Linked DNA regions of Rhinolophus ferrumequinum. The protein of the gene in region 1 binds, or shares a complex with, the protein of each later gene. Links are inferred from orthologs where the notes say so. Each region holds a gene or a part of one and is shown in the gene's direction. Other genes may lie near its edges. The genes, in order: ARVCF, PA2G4 and SRSF1.

Region 1 (8,029 bases):
GACTGGTCCAAAGGTTCCCCTTAGCTGTGCCCCAGAATGAAGCCAGGAAGCATGGAAGGTGCTGGGGTGGGGGGTGGGGTCTCAAAGGCCAGCAAAGGGGCCAGGCCTTGGGCTGGGTACAACTCTGCCCAGGCCCCACCCCTGATGCGCTGGGGGAAGGGTCTGGCTACCTGAGCCACCCCAGCCAGGAAAGCTATGTCCAGGCACAGGGATGACCCAGCACTTGCTGCCTACTCAGACAGCTGTCACCCCGCTGCACCCGCAGCGGGACGCAGGGAGGCAGCAGCGTGACTCAGGGCTCCATAGCTGACCGACGCCGTGACCCACCCACCACGCAACTCCCCCAGCCCCGCCAGTCTCTGCTTCCCTGCAGCAAGACCAGCCCGGTCTGCCAGTGGCCCCCCCACCCCAACCCGGCGGGGATCACTGGAAACGCCTCCCAGTGGAGCCCTTCGTTGGCCTTGGGCGGTTTGGTCTCCCCGGACCCTGCAGCTTGATTTCCATTTCACGCCTCGGGAAGGGGAAACTGAGGCAGGAGGGGGGTACGGCCCCGCCCCTCCCCGCCCGCTCCTACGGAGCCCCGCGCCCCCGAGCCCGGGCCAGCCGACTCCGCGGGGAGTGGAGTCCGCAGGCCCGGGCAGCCAGCCGCGCACTCACCGCCTCCGCCGCCGCCGACTTCCGGGTGCCGCGCCCGCGCGCTGCCGCCACCGCCCAGGCCCCGCCCCTGCCGCAGTCTGTGCGCAGCCATTCGGCTGCGTGGCTAGGGACAGAGCGGCGCGCTGCAACCCGAGGCACAGTTGGCTACGTGCGCTGTCGCTCCAGGGGCTACGCCCTCCCAGAGCCCCGCCCCTGAGGCTGCGCCAAACCTCTTGGCTGCGCTGGTGTCTGGACACCGCGTGACCCCCGCGGCCTTCCCAGCCTCCTGGCTTCCAGACCCGGGGACTCCCGCAGGAGGTCGCAGCCGCTTGACCCGTCAGGGCCGCTGTCTGAACTCGGTCACCGGCCCACCTGGTGGCCCCGGCTTGTGCACTACAGGGATGCTCATTTCCGGACCCGCCCCTCAGGCTGGGTCCTGGTGCCCCCCCCCAACCCCCGCCGGCCTCCAGCCCCTCTCTGGTCCATCCAATCCGGGCCTTGGGACCTGGCCATCCTCTCCACTGCAACTCTGACCCCCTGACATCCCTGCCATGCTCAGGACAGGCCCTGGACCAGGCACTCCAGCCCCATCCAGCCACCGTAGCCTTTGAGTCCACCTCCAAGCTGTTCTTCTACAGGTGCAGGCCCCAGGGATGAAAGGCTGGCCCAAACTGATCCGGACTAGGTGAGCAAGAGGCCTGGAAAGGACACTGACTGGAATCCTCCCAACAGGACAAAGGCATGCACTGGGCTCCCTGCCCCATCTGTCTGGGGCCTGAATGCAGGGAAAGTGTAGAGTCAGAGGCCCGGGGCTTGCTACAAAGTGGGCGCTCAGCAAACTATGACAAGAATGAGAGTTATATTAAGGAAAATAACAATGTGCTAAGCACTCTAAGCCCAGTGTTCCAGTACACAGCTCTCATTGATCCCACTTTACAGATGGAGACACGAGGACTCAGAGCAGTTACGTCGCTTGTTTGAAGTAAAAAAAAAGACAAGGTGGCAAATGACAGTGGCTGGATTAGCTCCACAGTCCTGCATTGAAGATCTAGGCTCCCTGATCCTGACTCAGAGCGCTGATGCCCTGTGGAAAACAAAGAGAAGGGCCTGGCTGTTAATCAGCAAAGGCTAGAGTCAAACCGAAACCTGCATGATGCCCCTGAAAGCTCACTATTTCACCCCACTCTTTCGCCGTCTCATCTGTGTTCCTCCTGGAACCCAACAGAAGCCCTTTGTAGGGATGGAAAGCGAGCACTCCAGATACCTGGGGACTCAAGGCCAGCAGGCAGCAGATCCAGCAAGACACACAGTCTTCCCTTCCACCATCCGGCAACAGTATTGTGCTGGGCTGGTCACTGGACCATTTAGTCCAGCCAAGAGGTGGTAGTGTTGGATAAGCAGGATGGGCTTGGAGGTGAGTGACAATGCCCTGGGGTATGGAGCAGAAGCTGCAGTGCGGTCTGCCCCAGACCACTGGGGCAGAGGAGTAGAACACAGATTGGCCCTCATTAGCAATGCTTTCCCATTGCCTGCAAAGTGGGATGCAGTCATGCGTGGGTTGGACAGAAGTTCAAATCCCAGTCTGCCACAGAGAGCAGCATATGGCCCTGGGCCAGTCCAGTCCCCAGCCACACTCTTCCTCCATCTAGATGGAGCCAGAGCAGGCACTCTGATGTTCACTGTCACCGCTGACTCCCATCTGGATGACATTTGGTGCTAGGAAGCAGACAAGACCATTTAGATGGGTCGAGGTGGGCACCTGAGCCCTGGGGTCTCAGGGCTACAAGGGACTCACTGCCACCCACCTCTGATTACACACATCCCTAGACATCCTTATTATGTGGCCACCCTTTTGGTGTCTGAACATCTGCAACTGTTGGAAAGTTCTTCCTGACATCCAGCTGAAATCTTTTTCTCCCTGCATGCCCCAGGGATATCCCTACAGAGCTGGCCAGTGGCCATGGAGAGGGAGGAGACTGGGCTACCGGTCCCTGTGGCAGTGGGGAGTGGTCGAGGCCACCTCTCCTGCCCTCTGACTTTCTGACCCCCACTTGGGTCATGGTGTGCCCACTGCCAGACAGTGGTCCTGAGTCCTCTTCGAACTGTCGCTGCACACGCTGATCCTCTGTATGTGGCTGGTGATCCAGTTCAGGGGCGGACGGGTCTCTGGAACCCTGCCAGGAATGAGGGGGAAGGGAGGCAGTCCTCACTTGGGATGATTTAGGTGCACAATTTCAGCAGGTCTGCCCAGCCTCTCTTGCTATGATCAGTAAGTCTGTGGGGGAGGGGTGGTGCTGGCCCACAAGGTCACTGTAAGAGGAGGGGCTCCCAAAGGACCAGGGCACAATCAATGCCCTCAGAGAGATCCACTGAACATTGGGCTAATTAAATCTACTCCTAAATGTAGAAAGAGAATTCCCAGCCCAGGGGCAGCTGGGCCAGAATGTCATTGATGGTGTGGCTCCATGGGATGAGTTATCTTGTGCAAGGAAACCTTTGTGTTCCAGAGAGGGACACTTCATTCTGCCCGCCCAGAGCTTTGAGCAACATCCCTGTGTCAGGGGGCCAAATGGCTGTCACCTCAAGTGCCAACTCCAGTCAATTGGTGGCAGCTGCCTAGCTCTGAAAGTCTGATGGGATCAATTTGCCATGTGTGACAGGGCACATGGGGACCTAATGGTGAGACCAGTGGTGAGTTCTAGCCTCAAGTCATTTACTTTCTTTGTTCTGACCAAGAAATTATTGGGTGAACATTCTGACCTCATGTTGTGGGTGGATAAGACATGAATATCTGGTCCCCCCATTAGCACTGTCATGGGCAGTGTGACTCCCTGGGCAGCCTTGGGGAATATGGTGAGCTGAAGATCTGGTCCAACCATGGCAGGAAAGTCTTAGAACCAAGAATGAGCCAGGGTCACTGGTCAAAGGGCCATTTCAGGATCCCCCTGAAACAAACCCCAATGGGCAGCATCCCCACTGGTGCCCCCCACACCATGAAGTGGAGCTGGCCTAAAGTTATGGTCCCATTTGTGGTCACATATGTGCCCTATGTCATTGCAGGGCCAGGTGGATGCTCTCACCTGGCAAGGAAATGCAGCCTTCCCTAAACACAATCCAGGTGGCTAAAACCCAGTGTTCTTCTGCGACCCCTGGTAGGATGGAGGAAATGAGACACCACGAAGGGGAGGAGGAGGGTTAAAGGCACAAATTCCTCCTCCCCAGGCCCAGATCTGTCGGGATGGCATGAGGGAGATGAGGGAGGGCGGTCCTGTGGGGCCCTGTAAAGTGGACTGAGCCCAGTGTGTCTGTAGATTCAGGCCTGATGGGGACGGAAAACCCCTGGTTTTCTGAGGGGTCCCTTCTTGCCCTTAGAAACACTATAGGCCCTCACCCACCCGCCTTTGCTGTGGGAATCCTGGGGCGATGAGGGTGGGAGAGCTTCCAGGCCCAGTTATCAGATGGACTGGATTCCAGCCCTGGTGACTAAAGCAACTGAGAACTTCTCTGAGCCTAAGTTTCCCATCTGTAAAATGGAATGGCAGCAGAACTCTTCCTCCAGGGTTGTGTGAGGAGTACAATTTGACGTGGACAGGAGAACGCTGCGCGCAGCGCCTGGCCTACCGCAGGTGCTGGTGAAGGATACCTGCGAACTAGGGGTGGTGATGAGACCAACGCGGCCCGAGTCCGGGGAGGGGGCGCTGGGCCTGTCGGCCCCTACTCGGGGCCGGACGGTCTGGGGAAGTCCTGGAAGGCGGCCCAAAGAGGGATACCCTGCGGCCTCCGCCGCCGCCGCCGCAGAGATCTAGGCAGGTGCCGGGCCGCAGCGGTCCAGGCAGGTGCCCGGCCTCCACCACTCTACGAGGGGGTCGGTCGTCGGCCAGGACGGACATCTCGGTGGCCCAATGGCAATCCCGCGTCTCCCTGCGCCCGTCCAATCGGCGCCGGTTGCCGGGCCGCACCTGGTCTTCCAACCAATGGGAAAATTCGCGGTCGGATGGGGCGGAGCGGAAAACCGCGTCGCTGGCTAGGCCCGCTTTGCGCACGGACCGCGCGAAGGGCGGGAGGGCTAGCCCGGGGGATACGCGCTGGTCCTGGGATGGTCAGCCTCTGCACCGGCCCAAGCTGAGGCCCCGCAGACGGCCACCCACACCGCGCCTTGCGGACGCCGCGCCCCGCGCGCTCTGGGACCCGGGACGCCCGCCTGGGGGTGGGGGCCGAGCTGCGGAGCCGCCCACGTCGCGCTCCAGGTATGCTGGGGTGACAGGGACGAGGTCCGCATGGGGACGGGGGTTGGAGAGCTAGGTGCGAGCGGGCTCCCGGCTGCGGGATGGGCTGGAGCCCCGTCGGGGCGGGGTCTTGGGCCGGGAGTCTATTATCCGGGCGGGGGTCGTGGTTGGGGATCCGAGCCCGGCTCCGCCCCACCCGTACGTCGCCCGCGCTGCGGTGCGCGAGACCCTCGTCTGGCGGGGTGGGTCCCTTTGTGCACGGCCTCGGGCCCTGCCCGAGCGGCCGGCGCGCCCCGCACCGCGCGCATCCAGCGTCCGCTTGTGCGACGCCGGGCGCCTCGCAGCCAGGGCTGGGCAGCTACAGAAACTTTCCGACGGCCGGAGGGGCGGCGGGGCCCGGGAACTTTCCCGGAGCGGTGCGCCGCTGGGAAGCGCGGGGGCACGACGGGGCCAAAGGAACGTCCCCACGCTGCGCATCTCCTGCCGCCTAGAGGACACGAAAGGGGACGCTGCCCGGAGACCCTGCCCGGTGCCCTGACCCGGGCCCAGCGCCGCCTCGGTGGGACACCTGGCCCCAGGCCGAGGGAGGCGCGTCCTCCCACTCGGAGTGGTACTCAGCCCGGCTTCGCTGAGATGTCGCCTTGGGCGGGCAGCCTGGGATCCCTAGCCTTCTATTTTAACTTTTAATTAAATATTGGGTACTTAAAACAAGTCACCGTTTCTAACCTATGCAGAGTGTATCACTCAGGTTCCCATTCTCTTTAGACCCAGCCACGTTTAGAAACAAGGGAAAGAGAAGAACCCGCCCAAAGGGGTTTGATCCTTTAGGGTAGGTTCTTAATGTAACCTCAATTACCCCTTGTTTACATCCCTTCCCCGTGTCACCCATGTAACTGTGCAGGGTACACACCAGGTCGGTACTTAATAAACCCAGAGGCTTATAAACTTGGTGCCTCTGGGGTCAATCTCCTTCATAAGGACAGCACCAGGGGCACAGGGATCCCCTCTACCGTCCCTGCCTCCACTCTCAGATCCAGGATGCAGCCAGAGGTCTGTCTGTCCAGAGCAGGTCTTGCCTGTCCTGTGCTCAGTGCATCTCTGAACCTGGGACAGTGCTGGACACAGGAGCCAGTCAGAGCCCTCTGCCCAGCCTGCTGAGCCCATGGCCAGTCAATCTCTGAGCAGATGGTCCAGGCCTTGAGCTCGGCCACAGCATGTGGGGCCATAAATCTGGAAGGCATGCTTTCTCCCAGCTTTGCCTCATCCCATCCGCTGCACCATGTCTGCCCTTACCACCCCCGCAAGCCTGTGGTCTGCCAGCACCCAGCACAGGGCTGGGCACAGAGCACTGGCTGTGGTCAGGACTCTGGTCCTGGCCTGGAGAGGGTCACAGAAGTTCAGCCAAGCCAGTCCCACCCTGTTCTTCCTCACTTGATTTTCTATAGGACACTAGTACCTGATGACCAAGTACCTCCTAGATGAACTGGGTCCAGCCCCCAGCCCCCAGCCCTATTAAGTTAGAGCTGCCCCTGCCATACCTGGACTTCGTGGTGCCTCCAGAGGTAGCTCCTCAAGTCTCTTCCCAGTTCCAGGGTTCCCCTCTGCGTCTCCATCCCTGTTTGTATTGCACAAGGATTCAGGATGGGTTCACTGTACCCCCTTCACCCCAAGAGACAGGCTTGGGGGAGACACAAGCAGTAGGATCCTTTGCCTCCAAGGGGAGCCAGGAACTGTAGCACCATGGGAGGGGCAAGGACCCCAGGCATGCCAGAGCCTCAGTCAGCCCCTAGTATCTGGTCTGGGCTCAGCAGAGGGAGGGAGGGGCAGGACTGGGGTGGGGGACCAGGGAAGGACAGGTGCTCTGGGGGCAAGTTCTGGGGGGCCACAAGGGAACTTCCCTGATAGTGGCTGAAGTGTGGAGAAGGTATTTGTTCTTTCGCCTCCAGCTTCTATCAAGGTTAGGATGAGTCTTGGGCCACTCCGCAGGAGCTCCAGAAATAGGGAGTGACCAGAGGGGAGACACAGGAGCAGGAATCCTGGGAGGGCTGCACATCTTGGCTTATTTCACAGGTCGGGAAGGTGAACCCAGAGCTGGTGGATACCCACATCACCTACACAGCTCCTCCGCTTTCGCCTCCCCTCATCTTGGGTCAGGCACAGTACTTCTTACTGCCTCAGTGGACCCCCGGGGGTCAGCAGCCTCTAGTTAAGCACCCGCTAGCCCAGTGCAGCCACCAGAGGGCATCCAGGACCACCATGGCAGGCAAGACCTGTTCTACCCAGCCTGCCCCTGAGGTCAGGACCCTTCCTAGGGCACCCAGTGGGAGGCCAGAACTCTGCTTTCTCCAGGCTGCCCGTCCAGAGTGGGAGGCTGAAGGATCCCTGGGACAAGGCCCTTCGGTACCCCCACAGCCCCTCACTACCTTTGGTGCAGGCCAGGGAAACTTGAGGTCTGGATGGCGGGGTGGTTGAGTACGGGCTCCTGCAAGGACAGTGAAGGACGGGCCCTGCACCTGAACAGCCCTGAGAGTGAGGCCTCCTTCAGGTGCGAGCCCCACGTGTCTCCCTGGCTTCCGTAGGCTGGCCATGCCGTTACCAGGGTCGAGGCAAGGACTATGAGCCCACCACTCAGGGCAGGGCTGTGCGTCTCTCTGCCTCGGTGTTCTCATCTGTGAAATGTGAGGGTACAGCCAAAGTGGGTGCCTTTCCACGACGCACTGAGTGACCAGTGGCCTGGAAGAGCACATAGGATTTGCCATGGTGCAGCAGGACTCGAGGCTCCAGTGCAGAGCTAGCGCTCAGGCGGCCTGCTGGACCTGAACCCGGGCTTTTCAATGCCTGCGGTGGCCCCAAGACACCTGCCCCGTCTGCCCTGCCCTGGCCCCATCCCTTCTCTAGACTCGGTTTGTGCCCATGGAAGCTGCCTCTTGCTGTTCGGTTTGTGCAGGTCCACAGCTTGCTGTGCTGGCCTGATTGCTGGCTCTTGCAGCCTGGGCTGGGTTTCCCTAGTCAGAGATGCAGCAGGCCTTTCCAAGGCTGGGGGTGGGTCTGATAAGGGGTGTGGTGGCTCCCTTGAACCCAATGCTCTTAGTGTAAAGTCCTTGGCATGGTGGGTGACGCCAGAGACTGCAGACCAGCCCTGAGGGGGTGGTGAGAAGGGGTCCCCA
Region 2 (7,715 bases), on another chromosome or scaffold:
GAATCTCCAAAGCCTTCAGATCCTTGTGTCAGAACAAGTTCTGCCTTCCCTTCATCTTCATTCCCATTTCTACTATTTTGCCATCAACTAGTCATGTCTTCCTGTACCAGGTGTGACAGTTTGGGAGCTGATGACATTTGGGGCAGAGCCCTATGCAGGGCTCCGATTGGCTGAAGTACCAGATCTGCTGGAGAAGGGGGAGCGGTTGGCACAGCCCCAGATCTGTACCATTGATGTCTACATGGTCATGGTCAAGTGTGAGTTACCTGCTGATGCCAGCCATATTGTGACTTCCCTCCCTACACCGCTCCCCTCTTAATGGTCCTACTTTCTACATCTTACTTCCAGGTTGGATGATTGATGAGAACATTCGCCCAACCTTTAAAGAACTAGCCAATGAGTTCACGAGGATGGCCCGAGACCCACCACGGTATCTGGTCATAAAGGTGAGTAGGGACTAGGAGGTGTCAAGGGTATTTAGAGCAAAGGGGACTTGGCGGGAACCAGAATCTATCTTAACAATCACCTGTCTCTACAGAGAGAGAGTGGACCTGGAATTCCTCTTGGGGCAGAGCCACCTGCTCTGACAAACAAGGAACTGGAAGAAGTAGAACTGGAGCCAGAACTAGACCTTGACCTGGACTTGGAGGCAGAGGAGGACAACCTGGTGACAACACTAGGCTCCGTCCTCAGCCTGCCAGTTGGAACACTTAATCGGCCACGTGGGGTAAGATACTTTCAAGTTACCCAAGACTTTGTGCACCCTGAGCGTCTGCACACCTGCACTCTCGTGAACCCCACAGATGCCCACATTAACTACTCAAAGGCCCCATGATAAGATTTTTGCCTTTGTCTAAACCTCTTTCTTACGTTTTTTTCATCCTAGAGCCAGAACCTTTTAAGTCCATCATCTGGATATATGCCTATGAACCAGAGTAATCTTGGGGAGGCTTGTCAGGTAAGGCCTGCCTTTTTAAGGAGCTGCTGAGAGGCTGGGTGACAGAATGTTTTAGGATCGACGGGTAGTGTAGGAGATTTTAGAAACCTTTGAGGTTTAATCAGTGTCCTACAAAAAAGGAGGCATTGAGGGCGGTAGGATGGTTCGGTAGGTTAGAGCGCGAGCTCTGAACAACAAGGTTGCCGGTTCAATTCCCGCATGGGATGGTGGGCTGCGCCCCCTGCAACTAAGATAGAAAACGATGACTGGACTTAGAGCTGAGCTGCTAGATTGAAGGACAACGACTTGGAGCTTGATGGATGGGCCCTAGAGAAACAAACTGTTCCCCAGTATTCCCTCCCCCCAAAAAAAGGCTTTAAAAAAAAATGCATTGAATTACCTAATCTCTTTTCTTTGTCTCTGTGTAAATCTCCGTTTATTATTTTCCTTCTTAGGAGTCTACAGTTTGTGCGGGTAGTGAACGGTGCTCCCGTCCAGCCTCTCTGCACCCGATGCCACGGGGGCGCCTGGTATCAGAGTCATCAGAGGGCCATGTGACAGGCTCTGAGACTGAGCTCCAGGAGAAGGTGTCCATGTGTAGAAGCCGGAGCCGCAGCCCACGGCCACGCGGAGACAGTGCCTACCATTCCCAGCGCCACAGCTTGCTTCCTCCTGTCACCTCACTCTCCCCACCAGGGTTAGAGGAAGAGGATGTCAATGGTTACGTCATGCCAGATGCACACCTCAAAGGTGCCTGCCTCCCCTTTCTCCCCACTGCTTATTATGGTGAAGTTTTCCGCATAGCTAGCCTCTCTTCTCAACCCCTAGGTACTCCTTCTTCCCGGGAAGGCACCCTTTCTTCTGTGGGTCTCAATTCTGTCCTGGGTACTGAAGAAGAAGATGAAGATGAGGAGTATGAATACATGAACCGGAGGAGAAGGCACAGTCCACCTCGTCCCCCCAGGCCAAGTTCCCTCGAAGAGCTTGGTTATGAGTACATGGATGTGGGGTCCGATCTCAGTGCTTCCCTGGGCAGCACACAGAGTTGCCCGCTCCACCCTGTGCCCATCATGCCCACTGCTGGCACAACTCCAGACGAGGACTATGAATATATGAATAGGCGACGTGGTGGTGGAGGTCCTGGGGGAGACTATGCAGCCATGGGCGCTTGCCCAGCAGCTGAGCAAGGTTATGAAGAGATGAGAGCTTTCCAGGGGTCTGGACACCATGCCCCCCATGTCCATTATGCCCGCCTCAAAACTCTACGTAGTTTAGAAGCCACAGACTCTGCCTTTGACAACCCTGATTACTGGCATAGCAGGCTTTTCCCCAAGGCTAATGCCCAGAGAACATAACCCTTGCTCCCCGAGGTACTCAGGGAGCATTTGATGGCAGCTCACGCCTCTAGAGGGTACCCCTCTTCTCCGTAGTCCCTGTCCCTCACAGGTCTCAGTCCCATTTCCTCCCTAGTCCTAGACAATTCCATTCAATTTCTGGAGGCTTTTAAATACTGACACAAAATTCTTGTGGTATGTAGCCAACTGTGCACTTTCTTCTCTTTGCCATTCCCTGGAAAGGAGAAGGTTTTCCCTATTTTGTTTTCTTTCCCAATCCCTTTCCTCTGCTTTCTCAGGGGAACTCCCTGGAGATATGAAGGATTATTCCCTTATCATATCCCATATCCATACAATTACTCCCATATCATGTTCCGTTCTCTCAGACTCTTAACTTGTGGAGACTGGGCTTCACAGTGTGCCTTTGTTTCTCATCAGACTCCTAAGGAAGAGAAAAGGGGCAAAACCTGGCAGGGGGAAAGTAAAATTTTGGTATAAGACTCTTAACCCCCTAGAAAGAATGGGAAGGTTAAAATCTTGTGAAGAAAAAGCAGATATTAATGATTACTATTAATTAAGCCTTTACTTTGTGCCAGGCATCTTGCTAAACTTTACCTACATTATCTCACTTAATCCTTACACCAATTCTGTGAGCTAGATATTATCCCATTTTACAAATAAGGAAACTGAGCCTTAAAGAGATAAAGTAAACTAAGTGGCAGGTCCAGGATTCAAATTCTTGCAATCCATGTGCTCTTACTGTAAGGTATCAAGGAAAAGTGATACAAGTCAGAGTCCTTGTAGGGGGCATTGTCTTATTTTTGCACTGAATCAAGTCTAACTCCAACAACCACAGCCTCCTAAACCCAGACTTCTCATCTCAGGAAATGGGGGTGGGGTAGTCAGAAGGAAAAATAAGCAGACATCTTTGTAAACCATAACCTATGTGTGCTGTTAATGATCTCTTACCCAAGAGACAGATCCATAAGGGTCGCCCAGGAGCCACTTTTAGGAGCTATTCTCACCCAGTAATGGGAAGCTTCCAGTTGGAATAGAAAGAGGACCTCTCTTCAGACCTCTGTCCCATTGGATGGGAAACTGGGGGTATCTGTTATATCACTGAAGTTTTTTGTTTTGTTTTTATACGTATCTAAATAAAAATGCCAACGTTTTTCAGCTTTCTGTCTGTTAAATGAAGAAAACCTTTAGTGTTAGACCACCCTTTTTCTCTACTCCTCAGCAAACAATAGCTACTTCCCCCCTCTGCTTTGTCTGTTTTCCCATGCAGCTTTCTCCAGCCCTCCACTGTCCTTGTATTCCCTTAAGAGAAGCATAGCGCACAGTTCTTTTCATTTAAAGGTTTTACTAGGAATCTACAAGGCGACCAACTGGGAATAACAAAAAAAGTTTGGGAAAGTTTGAAAAAGCCCTATAGATGTGCTCCCTCAAGAGGTGGAATATTGAAACTCCCAGGTTTCAGAACTCTTATTCTCTTAAAAAAGTCGCCGTGAACACTTCGCTTAGGTGCCATCAAAGCTTATTTGTTGGAACAATAGTGCCATCTTCTGTGGGAGTCCGGTCTGTAGATTGGGAGGCTGTAAATGGATAATCCCTTCGGAGTCCGCGGGCCCAGTTAAGTCCCTGCTCCTTGGTCTCCTTCCAAACCCGTTCGGCCCCTCCCGGTTCTCCTAGTATCGGAGGACGACTGGACCCGCAGAGCCGGTCCTGCCAGCCGCTCCAGGGATCCCCGCCCTGAGCCTAGTCACCCCCAATCGCCTGGGCTCCACCCTGCCCCACCGCCTCCAAACCCAATTCCCCGCGGGTAGCTCCGCCTTTTCTCCCTCAGCCCGCCCCCCGCCCCCCTCCATTAAAGGTTCCAGTTCAAGGCTCCTGGTGGACACGGTTTTTCCCGCAGAGACCACGCTTCTTAAACTCCCAACGGCTCCGCCTTCCCACTGGAGCCTGACCCTTCCCAGCGTGCCCGGCGATTCCAGCGTGCGAGGCCCTCGGAGGGCAAGGCCCCAGGGCCTGGTTTAGGGGCGCGAAAGGCAGGCTGGGAGTTGTAGTTCACGAGTCCAAGAGGGCGGCTAGAGGCTGGCTGTGGAAAGGACTCGTTGTCCCAGCGTGCCCTGCGCCTCAGCCCGCGCGCTCGCACCTTCTCGCTTTCGCCCTCCCGCCCGCTCCCTTGCTTGCTCGCGCTTTTGCTCGCGCTCTCCTCCTCGCGAATCGAAGGGGCTCAGACCACAGCCTGTGGCTAGCGAGGGAGACAGAGGCGGCAGCTCGGGGGGACGAGGCTGCAGTGGTGGTGGCGGCGGGAAGATGTCGGGCGAGGACGAGCAGCAGGAGCAAACTATCGCCGAGGACCTGGTCGTGACCAAGTATAAGATGGGGGGCGACATCGCCAACCGTGAGTGCGGCCTCAGGGGTCCGGGGATCTAGTCTGAGAGGAAGAGGCAAGGAGGATGGTACTGGGCGGGCTCTGGAGGGGCTGGAGCGGTGGGGTCAAGCAGAGTGAGCTACTGAGGGCCCCGCGCCGGTCCGCTGAGGGTGGCGTGGTGGGAAGACTCCTGTGTCGCGCCTGGGACCTGAGCGTCCAGGCCTGGGCTGGAGTCTGGAGGTGCGGGGCGGCGACGGGGAAGAGCTCAGAGCAGGGTCCCTGGCCGTCGCGAACCCTAGGACGTTAGTAAGGAGGCAAGGTTCGTCTCCTGCCCCTCACCATTTGGTCCGGATCCCTGCCGCCTCTAATTCGGGCAGCGACGAGGCCACCTCGAAAAGGAAGCACCCAGATGTTGGCGACGGGAGCGCCCCTCTATTTTGTCGCGGCTCTCGGGGCGTGAGGAGTCGAGCCGGCACGTGTTGCCGGGTTCCTGTGCTGATCGCTGGCTGCCTTCTTCCTCCGCTTACCGTCCCTGACACCAGCTTCTCTACCACGTGCTTTACTGAAGTCTTTGGTTCTTAACTTCAACTCTTTCCCTGGTGGGCGCCCCATTCTACTCTTGGGCCAGCTTTGGGACCGTTGGAAGGCACCCGTGGAGCTCCTCACACCCTCTTTGAGATGTATCTGGCTTTTCTTGAAGATACTCATTACTACCGTCAATCTGTGCAGATAGCCTTTCTTAGCCTTTGTATTTGATCTCGAGCTTGACAACTCCAGAAATGTTTTTGAGGCCCTCACCCCAACTAGACAAACTTGTGAATAGTACTGGAAAGGGGAGGGGGGACCGATTTTAGGATCTCAGAAGTCATCCTTATTAGGACTGCTCTGACTTTCTCAGCAGCTGCCTGCCACTCTAGGCAGATGTCTCACTTTCTATTTTCTCTATTTCCAATTCACCTTTCCAATTTAAAACCCAGTTGAGAGGACAGAAACTGCTTGTCTTTGGGCTTTTAAATGCTTTTGATAGTAAAGCTAGGTATTTAGAGTGCCTCTGGTCCAATGGCTGGAAACATGAGTTTCAGCCTTCCAAAGATTCACCAAAACTTAGATCACAAAAATCAAACCTAGAATTCAGGATGGGCCATGGAGATGCTTTATAACATAATGGACATTTAGTATGGTATCCCCATTTTTGGTACGTTTTTGTATTTGATATTAGTGGTTTGAATCAGAAGAAAACTTTTTTGCAATTTAGAACTTCTGAGGTACTTGCGATTGCAGATAACAGTTTAGAACTTTTGGGTCACATACCTTTTTATGATCTGCTAAAAGTTGTAAGCCATGAGCCTGCTGAAGCCCAGGGACCTTAGATTAAGTCCCCTTGGCTTATACACTTGTTTGTGAGGAAATAAGTCTACATAAATTAAATTACTAACACCTAATTGAGGTGTCTGAGAAGGGAGAAGGTAGCATTTCACAATGCATCAGCTTGGAGTCAGCAGTTGTGTGCCTACCTTCCTGTTGTCCCTGACGCCTATAAATTTCTTTTGGTCTGTTTTGCATGTATGTGGGATACCTTCATGAGGACCCCCTTGAAGTTCATAATTCTGTCCTACCACACCGTAGGTATGTGTGGAAGGTCTCCCTTGCCTAGGGAGACAGATTGTATACACCCAGTTATCACATATAAGGAAGGGAAGGGAGTGTTGACTTCTTTATTTTAGGAAAGGAAGGTAGAAATTTAGAGATTAAAGGTAGGTACATTCCAAGAGGCAAAACTTGTTTCCTCTTTCAGCCTTAGGGCAGTGGCACTAGAGAATATTAGACATTCTGGGTCCAACTCTTAGGTATTGCTTGGATTGTAACTTTAGACAGCACATGCAGGACTGACATGGTGGGGTTCTGTCCTTAGGGGTACTTCGGTCTCTGGTGGAAGCATCCTGCTCAGGTGTGTCGGTACTGAGCTTGTGTGAGAAAGGTGATGCCATGATTATGGAAGAGACGGGGAAAATTTTCAAGAAAGAAAAAGAAATGAAGAAAGGTAAAAAATCAGTCCCCCACTAATTTCCCAAGTTTGACCCTTATTTGTTCCTGTTTGTCATAATGATGCAACTCTCACCCCAGCTCTAGTTGAGATATTTGGAAGTTGGAAATGGCAAGTGGGTTACAAGCAGTTTGCTACGCAATCCAAACTTATTAAACTTAGGCAAGACCCTGAAGAAAATCCTTCCATTCTTCTGAGGGGCAACAGGGCTCCAAGAGAGAGCAAGGCAGTAAGGCTGATGATTCTGTCTCTACAGGTATTGCCTTTCCCACCAGCATTTCAGTAAATAACTGTGTATGTCACTTCTCCCCTTTGAAGAGCGACCAGGACTATATTCTCAAGGAAGGTGACTTGGTAAAAATGTAAGCTTAAACTGTTTTAGAGCACTTGTCTTTTTCCTAAGCATTTATATAGTCCCAGTTGCTAATGCTGTACTCTGGTCTTGCTTCTCAGTGACCTTGGGGTCCATGTGGATGGCTTCATCGCTAATGTGGCTCACACTTTTGTGGTTGATGTAGCTCAGGTAGGTGGCCTGCTTTGAACTTTGTTCAACCTGTGAGCGTGCACTGCTGCTTGCTTCTTATTCCCACGCCCTACCACCAAGTGAGTTTTGAGAGAGTCTCTGGAGAAATAAAAGGAAAAAGGGTGATTTCTCTTGTTCATTGGCTGACCTTACATAGTGGGCACAGGGATATTAACTGAATAACCAGCTGAGTTAAAGAACTTTCCAGGAAGACACTGATTGCATTTCCTTATCTACAGGGGACCCAAGTAACAGGGAGGAAAGCAGATGTCATTAAGGCAGCTCACCTTTGTGCGGAAGCTGCCCTACGCCTGGTCAAACCTGGAAACCAGGTAAGCTGTTTAGTCTAGCTCCAAAGTTTGATAGAGCCAAAGCTACACTAGGCATCTACAGCGATTCTATATTGCACTGCCAACTTTGCCCACAGCCCTCTCGTAAAACAGTTTTTTTAAATCAGCTACCACTTCCGATGGGATTTCTGTAAGAGAAGAGGCAGGAAC
Region 3 (8,256 bases), on another chromosome or scaffold:
GCCTGAAAACTCGTGGGATCCCAGAACTGTAGAACCTAATCTGCAAATTTTGGAAATTTCATTTGCAAATTCCACACTGAGTAGACATTGATATTTACTTAGAACAAAACCTGTTATGGACTCTTTGCATGCAACATCACTTCTATGCAAAAATGGTTCCAGAAACCCACACTCTGGCAGTGAGCATTTTGAGCCAATTAGAGTACCCCCCCCACAAAAAAAATGCAACCAACTGGAACAGAGCAACAGCTCCCGTTCTAGGCTGGCAGACCAGCAGGGGAGTTTGCTTTCACCAGGTCTTGGTACCTTATCACTAAACTGTAGTAATGACTGATGAAGCATGTGGAAGCAACATTTCACTTGAAAAAGTGTATTACTTATGTTTACAACTATTAACAATGTAAGATCTTACCCATGACAAAAACACCTATGAGACAGAGAACATGACAACACTGAATATTTGAATCAGGTTCAAGCAAAAATTACAAAAGCAGACTATTTCCTGGCAAACATTTTCTGTAAAGGGCCAAGTAAACTTGTGGACCATGTAGTCTATGTTGCAACTACTCAACTCTGCAAACAAATTTAGAAAAGTAATTCTGAGAGTTTTCAGCTAATCTGGGGTACTTTCTAAAACAATAAAGAGGAAAAAAATAATCACTCTCTCAAAATTTCAAATAAAAGTTTATTGAAATTACTTCTAACATACTTGGCATCAGTATTAACATGTAATACCACTATTACTACTAATAGCTAACATTTATATAGGACTCACACTATAAGATTTAATTGCCAAAAAAAAGGGCAATATTTTTAGCAAATAAAGCATACCTGCCATATTTTTAATATAATTCCTTAAAGACCCATTTACTCACTCCAGTTAAGAAATGTGCAATATGAAGTGGAGTTTCAATTTTTAAGAGAAAGAGCTAAGTAGGAAGAGGGAGAGAGAGAGTAATAATTAGGAAGAGGAAGACATGATGACAATATACCTCTTTGTAATAGATCACTTTGAGAGCTATTTTCTGGCAAAATCATATCCTACTGGCATCAATGATGGAACAATAAAGGTGGAAAGAATTAGCCAAAAATAAAACTAGAACCAAAGAATGAGGGAGGCCAGTCCTAAAATATGATTACCAAGAAAATATTATTTGTTGACTTATTTGAGCTTGAAAACTGGCCATCCTTACGATAGTGAAATGAAAAACCATCCTTATACCCATTGTGTCTATCCACTGACAGCAACATGATGATGTTTCCATAGAAACAACATTCTGCTCATCTAACATCCCACCTTTTTCAAAGAGCAGTCAGTAAATCGTCAATATTGGTTTTAACAGAGAATTTACTGGTAATAAAGGAAGTTACAGCAGAAATCTGTCCTCAGCATAGTTTACTAGTGAAAATGAGACAAACATAAATTAAATAAAAAGACATATACTACTTCTTCCTTTTTCAAGAATATTTACAACTAAAACAAGTGGAACAATGAATACAGAATTATGCAAGTGAACTGTTCCTGGAGATAACTCCCGTACACAATATTCCGAATCTTTGTGTCTCTTTCTTTACCTAGTAAAAGTAAGTTATCCCCAAGGAAGACAAGCATTGGCATTGACACATGAATATTAAAAACAGAATTTCCAGATTAGGGTAGCCATATTTCGGTGCAAATTACTCTGGAACACTCCCACCCCAGTAATGCCTTTAGAGGAATGGTACTACAGAGTGATTTTGCTACTTGTGGAGTTATTTTCCCCCCAGTCATTTTTAACAAGTTTTGAGTTATACTTTACATACTGTACAACTCACTCACTGTAAGTGCACACAATTCAATGATTTTTAATATATTTACAGAGTTGTGTAACTATCATCACAGGTATAGAGTTTTGAGTGTTCAGCAAATCACTGAAAAATTGGGTCTTCTGATTTCAACATTAACAGTAATTAACTTTTTGAATTTCTTTCTTTTCTATTTCCCCCCCCCCAAGTAATTATTTCCAGGGTAAAGTATAGTGCTAACACTAGCATATGCTTACTAAATTGGACTGAAAGCATTTAAAGAGTTTCTTTTTGAGGAAGTCACTTTTCCTCAAACACCAACAGTGTTAAAAATAAAGCAGCTTCTGAGAATTAAGCTGGTAAAATCCATACTTAATAAATTAGCTAATTGTGGGAGCAATCCATATAACTGCCTGTGAATGTATAACTGAGGAGTTTAGAAACACTCTAAACCTCTAATTAAGAGTAGGATGTAATCTCAGAAGGCAAAACTGCAAGTGGTTGTAATTCAGTCAGCAGAAATCTAATCAATTGCCTAGCACACTGTTTAGAGAAAGTTGAGTGAAGATTAGCCTACAGAAAGAGAATTGCCAGTCTTACCCAGCTCTGTCCAGAGACACAAAATCCAAGGGGTATGAATTTTCCTGTCATTGAAGAGGTATACTCTGTGTGGAGCAGGGATCATTTAGCAGGTCTCACCATGATCTGAATAAAATATCTCTCAAAATGACTCACCTCATTTTGAGTTCTCATTTACTAAGCAACTTCCTGATTTGCTTTCCAGACCTGCCAAAACAGTTATCTTGGTATGTACAATTTGAGCATACTAGTTATCAAAAATGAATCTGCCCCACCACCCAACAAATGAACAAATCATTTTATTTATTTGCTTTCTTGTGGACTAAAATATGTTCATCAACTCTGGTACACTAATAATATCACACCCCGTAACTGTAATAATCACCAAGCCAATGTCATCCTGGGAGACCTTGATAAACAGCCGTCCAGACCTTTCGTGCCACATCCTGACCTCATCATGGACCCCAGAACCTATAATTTGGTTCTATTCAAATACAATAAAAGATGCCAATAGAGAAACAAGAATGTCCCATTCACTCATGTTAAAGTCTACCTTGTGTTCTTCTTAATTAAACAAAATCATAAATGATTTCATTAAGTCAAACACTCAAGAATAAATCAAAGCAAATTCACAGTTTTCTTATTTTTCTGGAATGAAAATGTCTTGAAATTAAACGCACCTATGTTTAAATCACTTCAGTTATCACTTACTTAACATTTATCAACAGAAGATGAACACGAATAATTCCAAATTGATGGATAAAAGTTAGAACAGAAAGAAAATGTGCTCAGTAAATAACTTGAATGAAAATAACGAATACATGAGATGACTGCAATTTTAAAAAAATTTCTCATCTCTCTGCTACAAACCAACTAGGACAGTGCTAGAAACTGAGTAAATTTGTTAAAAAATAGTGTCCATTTGGTCAGCTTCTCATTTTAAAAATTATCAGGGGTGGCCCATTAGCTTAGCTGGTTAGATCGTGGAGCTGATAACACCAAGGTTCCGGGTTTGATCCACGCATGAGCCACTGTGAGCTGCGCCTGCTTTTAAAAAAAAAATTATCAAGTTGTTCTCTTTTTAATTAAAGTCTTGGTTTCAAAAATATCATTGAAGGATGGTCAAGCGATGTCCTTCCCTCTAAAATTTTAGGAGGTTCCTTTTCCTTTTGGGACCTACAGCCCCCTTTAAGAATCAGATTAAAATTTCCATGCACATACATATACACATAATTTTAGAAACCATCACAGACAGTTCAAGGACTACCAAACATTTGTAAAATACATTCAATCAACTTTTAGAACTAAGAAATAATGACTATCTCCTAAACGATCTATTTTTTTAATCTCAAAGACACTTTGGATTTAGAATATCCGCACTTGTGCTCCTGACTTTACTGTGACTTCTGGGATGACCAGTCAAATTTGCAGTCCTTCTCTAGGAACTCACCAGACTATTACTGCAGGCATTTTGTGTAGTAACCTTATCCATGACTTCATCTTAACCCTCCCTCATTTTCCCATTCTCCCTGATTTCATCCAGTTTTAATAATTTTTTATGGTTATCTCTGCAAATTGCCTCACATTCCTGGGGAGAGGGATTGTTGCAAATAAATGTATAATGTATTTTAACATATGTACGACTGTAGGGGTGTTTAAAAAATTTGAATTCATTTACTAATATTTTAAAATCCCAACATTTCACATAAAAATTCAGATTTTAAATATCTCTGGGGGAAAAAAATGTAAAAAGTTCTTATCTCCCTGGGATAGCATGGAAGTAGGATCAATCCTGAGCAGCAACTATGGTCTCCAGTGATCACAATTCTCACATATCCATTTTGCCCATTTATATTACCTGAAAGGACCGGTAATGAGTTCAAAAAAAGGAACGAACGAATCACCGCCACTAGCACAAGGAGTGTTGAATTGAGCTATACTAAGTTTTAAACCAAAGGTGGACCCGTACTGACTGTACAATATTTACTAAGAAATCTAAGCTGGTTCCCTAAATCAGACACTTGTCTAAGCCGGCCAAGGCTTGTTCGCAGAAGGGGCAGGAAGACAAAGTCACGCCTTGGCTCCCGGACTAGGCGCACTCTCCGAGTTCCCCGTTTCCAGAGCAACTGCCTGGTCCCTCCCCCTTTGACTCCGCCCCCGGGAGTCTTTTCCCGCCAAAGGCCGTTGACGCCGCAGAGCATGGTGGGACAGGCTCTAGGCTAGGTTTCACCAAATCCTTTCAAGGGATCGAGTTGCTTTAAAGAGGTTCATTCCTGAGGAAACTGACTTTCTCTTAAGAGTCAAAAGGGATCAATAACCCCTTTAACGAGGGCTCTGTATCTTTTTACCAAACGGCTGGTCACTCCATTAGCAAACGACTCCGCAAATCCGCAACGCGGGGAACTTTTTTTTCCCTTTGCGCGGAGGGTAACGTCGCGCGTGCGTAAACGTACTTTCGCAGCACCCGTTACGCTCGTGCGCGTGCGTACTGAGATCAAATAGCTGCTTCCTCCCGCTTCTCTTCCTCCCTCCCCCCATATCCGTGCGCCGAGCTGATAAAGGCGCCATTTTGGAGGGGCCGCGGGAGACGTGGTGTCGCTGCGGGCTCGCTCTGCCGTGCGCTAGGCTTGGTGGGAAGGCCTGTTCTCGAGTCCGCGCTTTTCGTCGCCGCCATGTCGGGAGGTGGTGTGATTCGTGGCCCAGCAGGGAACAACGACTGCCGCATCTACGTGGGTAACTTACCTCCAGATATCCGAACCAAGGACATTGAGGACGTGTTCTACAAGTACGGTGCTATCCGCGACATCGATCTCAAGAATCGCCGCGGAGGGCCGCCCTTCGCTTTCGTTGAGTTCGAGGACCCGCGGTGAGGCGGCCTGGGCCTTGCGGCCTTGTGGAATTAGGTTGGAGTAGTTGGGGAAAGCTCCACGGCCTTAACATAGAGCATGGGAAGGTGGCTTTTAGGTTGGGGGCAAGACGGTATCGCCCAGGCAGGAGTTGAATAAGTAGCTGAGTTCGTGTGGCTTTTCGGATGGCTGGGCCCCATGGACTTTCTCAGACCGACTTAGTCTCGTAGCGGGAAACTGAGGCGTTGAGGGCTGGTGTAGTCTGGAGCCTGGCGTGCTTCTGGGTGGGGGAGGGGCTTTTCCTATTATGCGGCGCATGTGGGCTCTTCCACGCTGGGTGCGCATGTGCGGGGGGTCGCTAGTTCCCGGCTGAGTTAGCCGCCTCTCCGGGTCCTTTTTCTTACTTCTTTTTGCTTTCTGTGATCACGCAGGGACGCGGAAGACGCGGTGTATGGTCGCGACGGCTATGATTACGATGGATACCGTCTGCGGGTGGAGTTTCCTCGAAGCGGCCGTGGTACAGGCCGAGGCGGCGGCGGGGGTGGAGGTGGCGGGGCTCCCCGAGGCCGCTACGGCCCCCCATCAAGGCGATCTGAAAACAGAGTGGTTGTCTCTGGTGAGTTTACTGTTAATGTGGATTGATGAGAAGGGACAGAAACCACTTAACGTTTTCCTTGCGTGACCAATTTGACAAATGGAAGTTTTAAATTTAGCTTTCTGTGTGAATTGAGGAAACAAGGGTTACTGCGATGGAGATTTATCAAATTAGGTTGCAGTACCTAGAATATGAAGATCCTTACCTTACAGATAATTTTGGAGTCCGGATTCCAGAATCTTAGCTATTTACCTAGGATCTTAAATATAATCATTGTTAAAGTAATCTTTGTTCTAATGTAAATTAAGTTTAATGAGAAATTTAGGATAATTGGTATTGGAAAAAAAACACTTTTTCAGGACTGCCTCCAAGTGGAAGCTGGCAGGATTTGAAGGATCACATGCGTGAAGCAGGTGATGTATGTTATGCTGATGTTTACCGAGATGGCACTGGTGTCGTGGAGTTTGTACGGAAAGAAGATATGACCTATGCAGTTCGAAAACTGGATAACACTAAGTTTAGATCTCATGAGGTAGGTTATACACTTATTCTTTTCTTTGGCCAGAATTGGATACAGTGGTCTTAACAGTGGAATTTAAAGGTAAGATTTCAGGCAAGGGTGCCCAAGTAAAGTGCCAGATTTCTGGTTTTAGCTACATTGTATTCATTCAGCATGCCTGAAGACAGATAAAAGCTTAGATCTTTCAATCGAAAGTTCTGTCTATTCAATAGGGAGAAACTGCCTACATCCGGGTTAAAGTTGATGGGCCCAGAAGTCCAAGTTATGGAAGATCTCGATCTCGAAGCCGTAGTCGTAGCAGAAGCCGTAGCAGAAGCAACAGCAGGAGTCGCAGTTACTCCCCAAGGAGAAGCAGAGGATCACCACGCTATTCTCCCCGTCATAGCAGATCTCGCTCTCGCACATAAGATGATTGGTGACACTTTTTGTAGAACCCATGTTGTATACAGTTTTCCTTTACTCAGTACAATCTTTTCATTTTTTAATTCAAACTGTTTTGTTCAGAATGGGTTAAAGTGTTGAATTGCATTCTTGTGTAATATCCCCTTGCTCCTAACATTTACATTCCCCACATGTCTGATAAATTGTATTTTAAGTGATGTCATAGACAGGATTGTTTAAATTTAGTTAACTCTCCATGCTCTTCAGACTGTGATATTGTGTAAATGTCTATTCTGCTCTGGTTTGTGTGAACTGGGATATTGGGGGTGTTTGTGGTTCTTACCTGGGGAAGTTCTTATGTTTATCTTGCTTTTCATGTGTCTTTCTGTAGACATATCTGAAGAGATGGATTAAGAATGCTTTGGATTAAGGATTGTGGAGCACATTTCAATCATTTTAGGATTGTCAAAAGGAGGATTGAGGAGGATCAGATCAATAATGGAGGCAATGGTATGACTCCAAGTGCTATTGTCACAGATGAAATTGGCAGTATTGACCTTATACTAAAAGGCAAGGGTTAAAAATGATTATATGCATTTACCTTAAAACACTTGCAAACGTCTTATGCAGTTATATTTAACTACAATTGCTTTGCCTATTAAACCTTGGCAATTGTGGCAAAATTACATTGCCCATTTTGTAACTATTTTGCTCCCTTCCCCCCCTTTTTTTTGTTTTAATAGGGACTAATGTGGGAAGAACTGGCTAATTTGTCACAGTGCTTAGTTACAACTGTTAATGTGTGACCTGCTGTTGGTGTACATGTGGGTACAGGGTGTCTTTAATCCCAACCAGATAGAGTATAATATCAATACTGCTAAATCTGCATGTCCTCTGTGTGACTGATATAGCGTTGCTATTTCATTTTTTTAAGACAAAATGAAAGCAAATTACAGAATTCCAACATATTGATGTAGATAATCTAGTTGGGAATACTTTTTAAGTCTCACCTTCCCCTTTAAACTAATACTCATAATTGACTCATGTTTAAAACACTTTAATTTACAAATTAAACTGCAGGTGGGAACATTAGATTTAGTTTAGGCTTAGGTGGGTAGCAATATCAGTAAACTTTTCAACTACATAACTTTTTGCAACCACAAAACCTGTAATACGCTGTACAGTAACAAGTGTTGGCATTATCAGTTGAACTGTAAATAATGAAATGCTTCTTCCAATTAGTCTCTATGATGATTAAGTTTCTAAAATTTATCTGAACACCATTCAGAAACTTGTTTTGGGGAATTTGATAGTTATTGATGTACATCTATTAAACTGATGACAGACATAACTCATCATTCCCCAGAAACCTTTTTTGATTACAGTATCTAACATTTTGCCTCCTCTTTTTTGGTTTTGCTGGTTATAAAGGTTTGGATTGGAGAGGGCTCACTGGATCCCAATCCTTGGAGCTGGATCATTGGATTCAAATCATAATGTGGATAGGATAGGGAGGATGAATTACAAGGATTCATGGAGCGGGATCAGAT

The links.
Region 2: ARVCF (region 1) and PA2G4 share a complex: the UniProt entries of both Homo sapiens proteins name them as parts of the ribonucleoprotein complex. The link is inferred for Rhinolophus ferrumequinum from reciprocal best matches to the Homo sapiens genes ARVCF and PA2G4.
Region 3: ARVCF (region 1) and SRSF1 share a complex: the UniProt entries of both Homo sapiens proteins name them as parts of the ribonucleoprotein complex. The link is inferred for Rhinolophus ferrumequinum from reciprocal best matches to the Homo sapiens genes ARVCF and SRSF1.

The regions. Positions count from the first base shown.
Region 1 is NC_046308.1:24,485,166-24,493,194, reverse strand, and holds the start of ARVCF (splicing regulator ARVCF), read left to right. Parts: upstream 1-4,649; 5' UTR 4,650-4,883; intron 4,884-8,029. UniProt on the Homo sapiens protein: Contributes to the regulation of alternative splicing of pre-mRNAs.
Region 2 is NC_046293.1:55,467,812-55,475,526, forward strand, and holds the start of PA2G4 (proliferation-associated protein 2G4), read left to right. Parts: upstream 1-4,381; 5' UTR 4,382-4,590; coding exon 4,591-4,678; intron 4,679-6,560; coding exon 6,561-6,689; intron 6,690-6,948; coding exon 6,949-7,054; intron 7,055-7,145; coding exon 7,146-7,215; intron 7,216-7,454; coding exon 7,455-7,547; intron 7,548-7,715. Other genes in the region: ERBB3 (receptor tyrosine-protein kinase erbB-3), read left to right, coding at 111-257, 349-446, 539-727, 887-958, 1,393-1,687, 1,766-2,292. UniProt on the Homo sapiens protein: May play a role in a ERBB3-regulated signal transduction pathway. Seems be involved in growth regulation. Acts a corepressor of the androgen receptor (AR) and is regulated by the ERBB3 ligand neuregulin-1/heregulin (HRG).
Region 3 is NC_046304.1:27,597,662-27,605,917, forward strand, and holds the start of SRSF1 (serine/arginine-rich splicing factor 1), read left to right. Parts: upstream 1-4,877; 5' UTR 4,878-5,036; coding exon 5,037-5,230; intron 5,231-5,641; coding exon 5,642-5,826; intron 5,827-6,164; coding exon 6,165-6,337; intron 6,338-6,537; coding exon 6,538-6,732; 3' UTR 6,733-8,256. UniProt on the Homo sapiens protein: Plays a role in preventing exon skipping, ensuring the accuracy of splicing and regulating alternative splicing.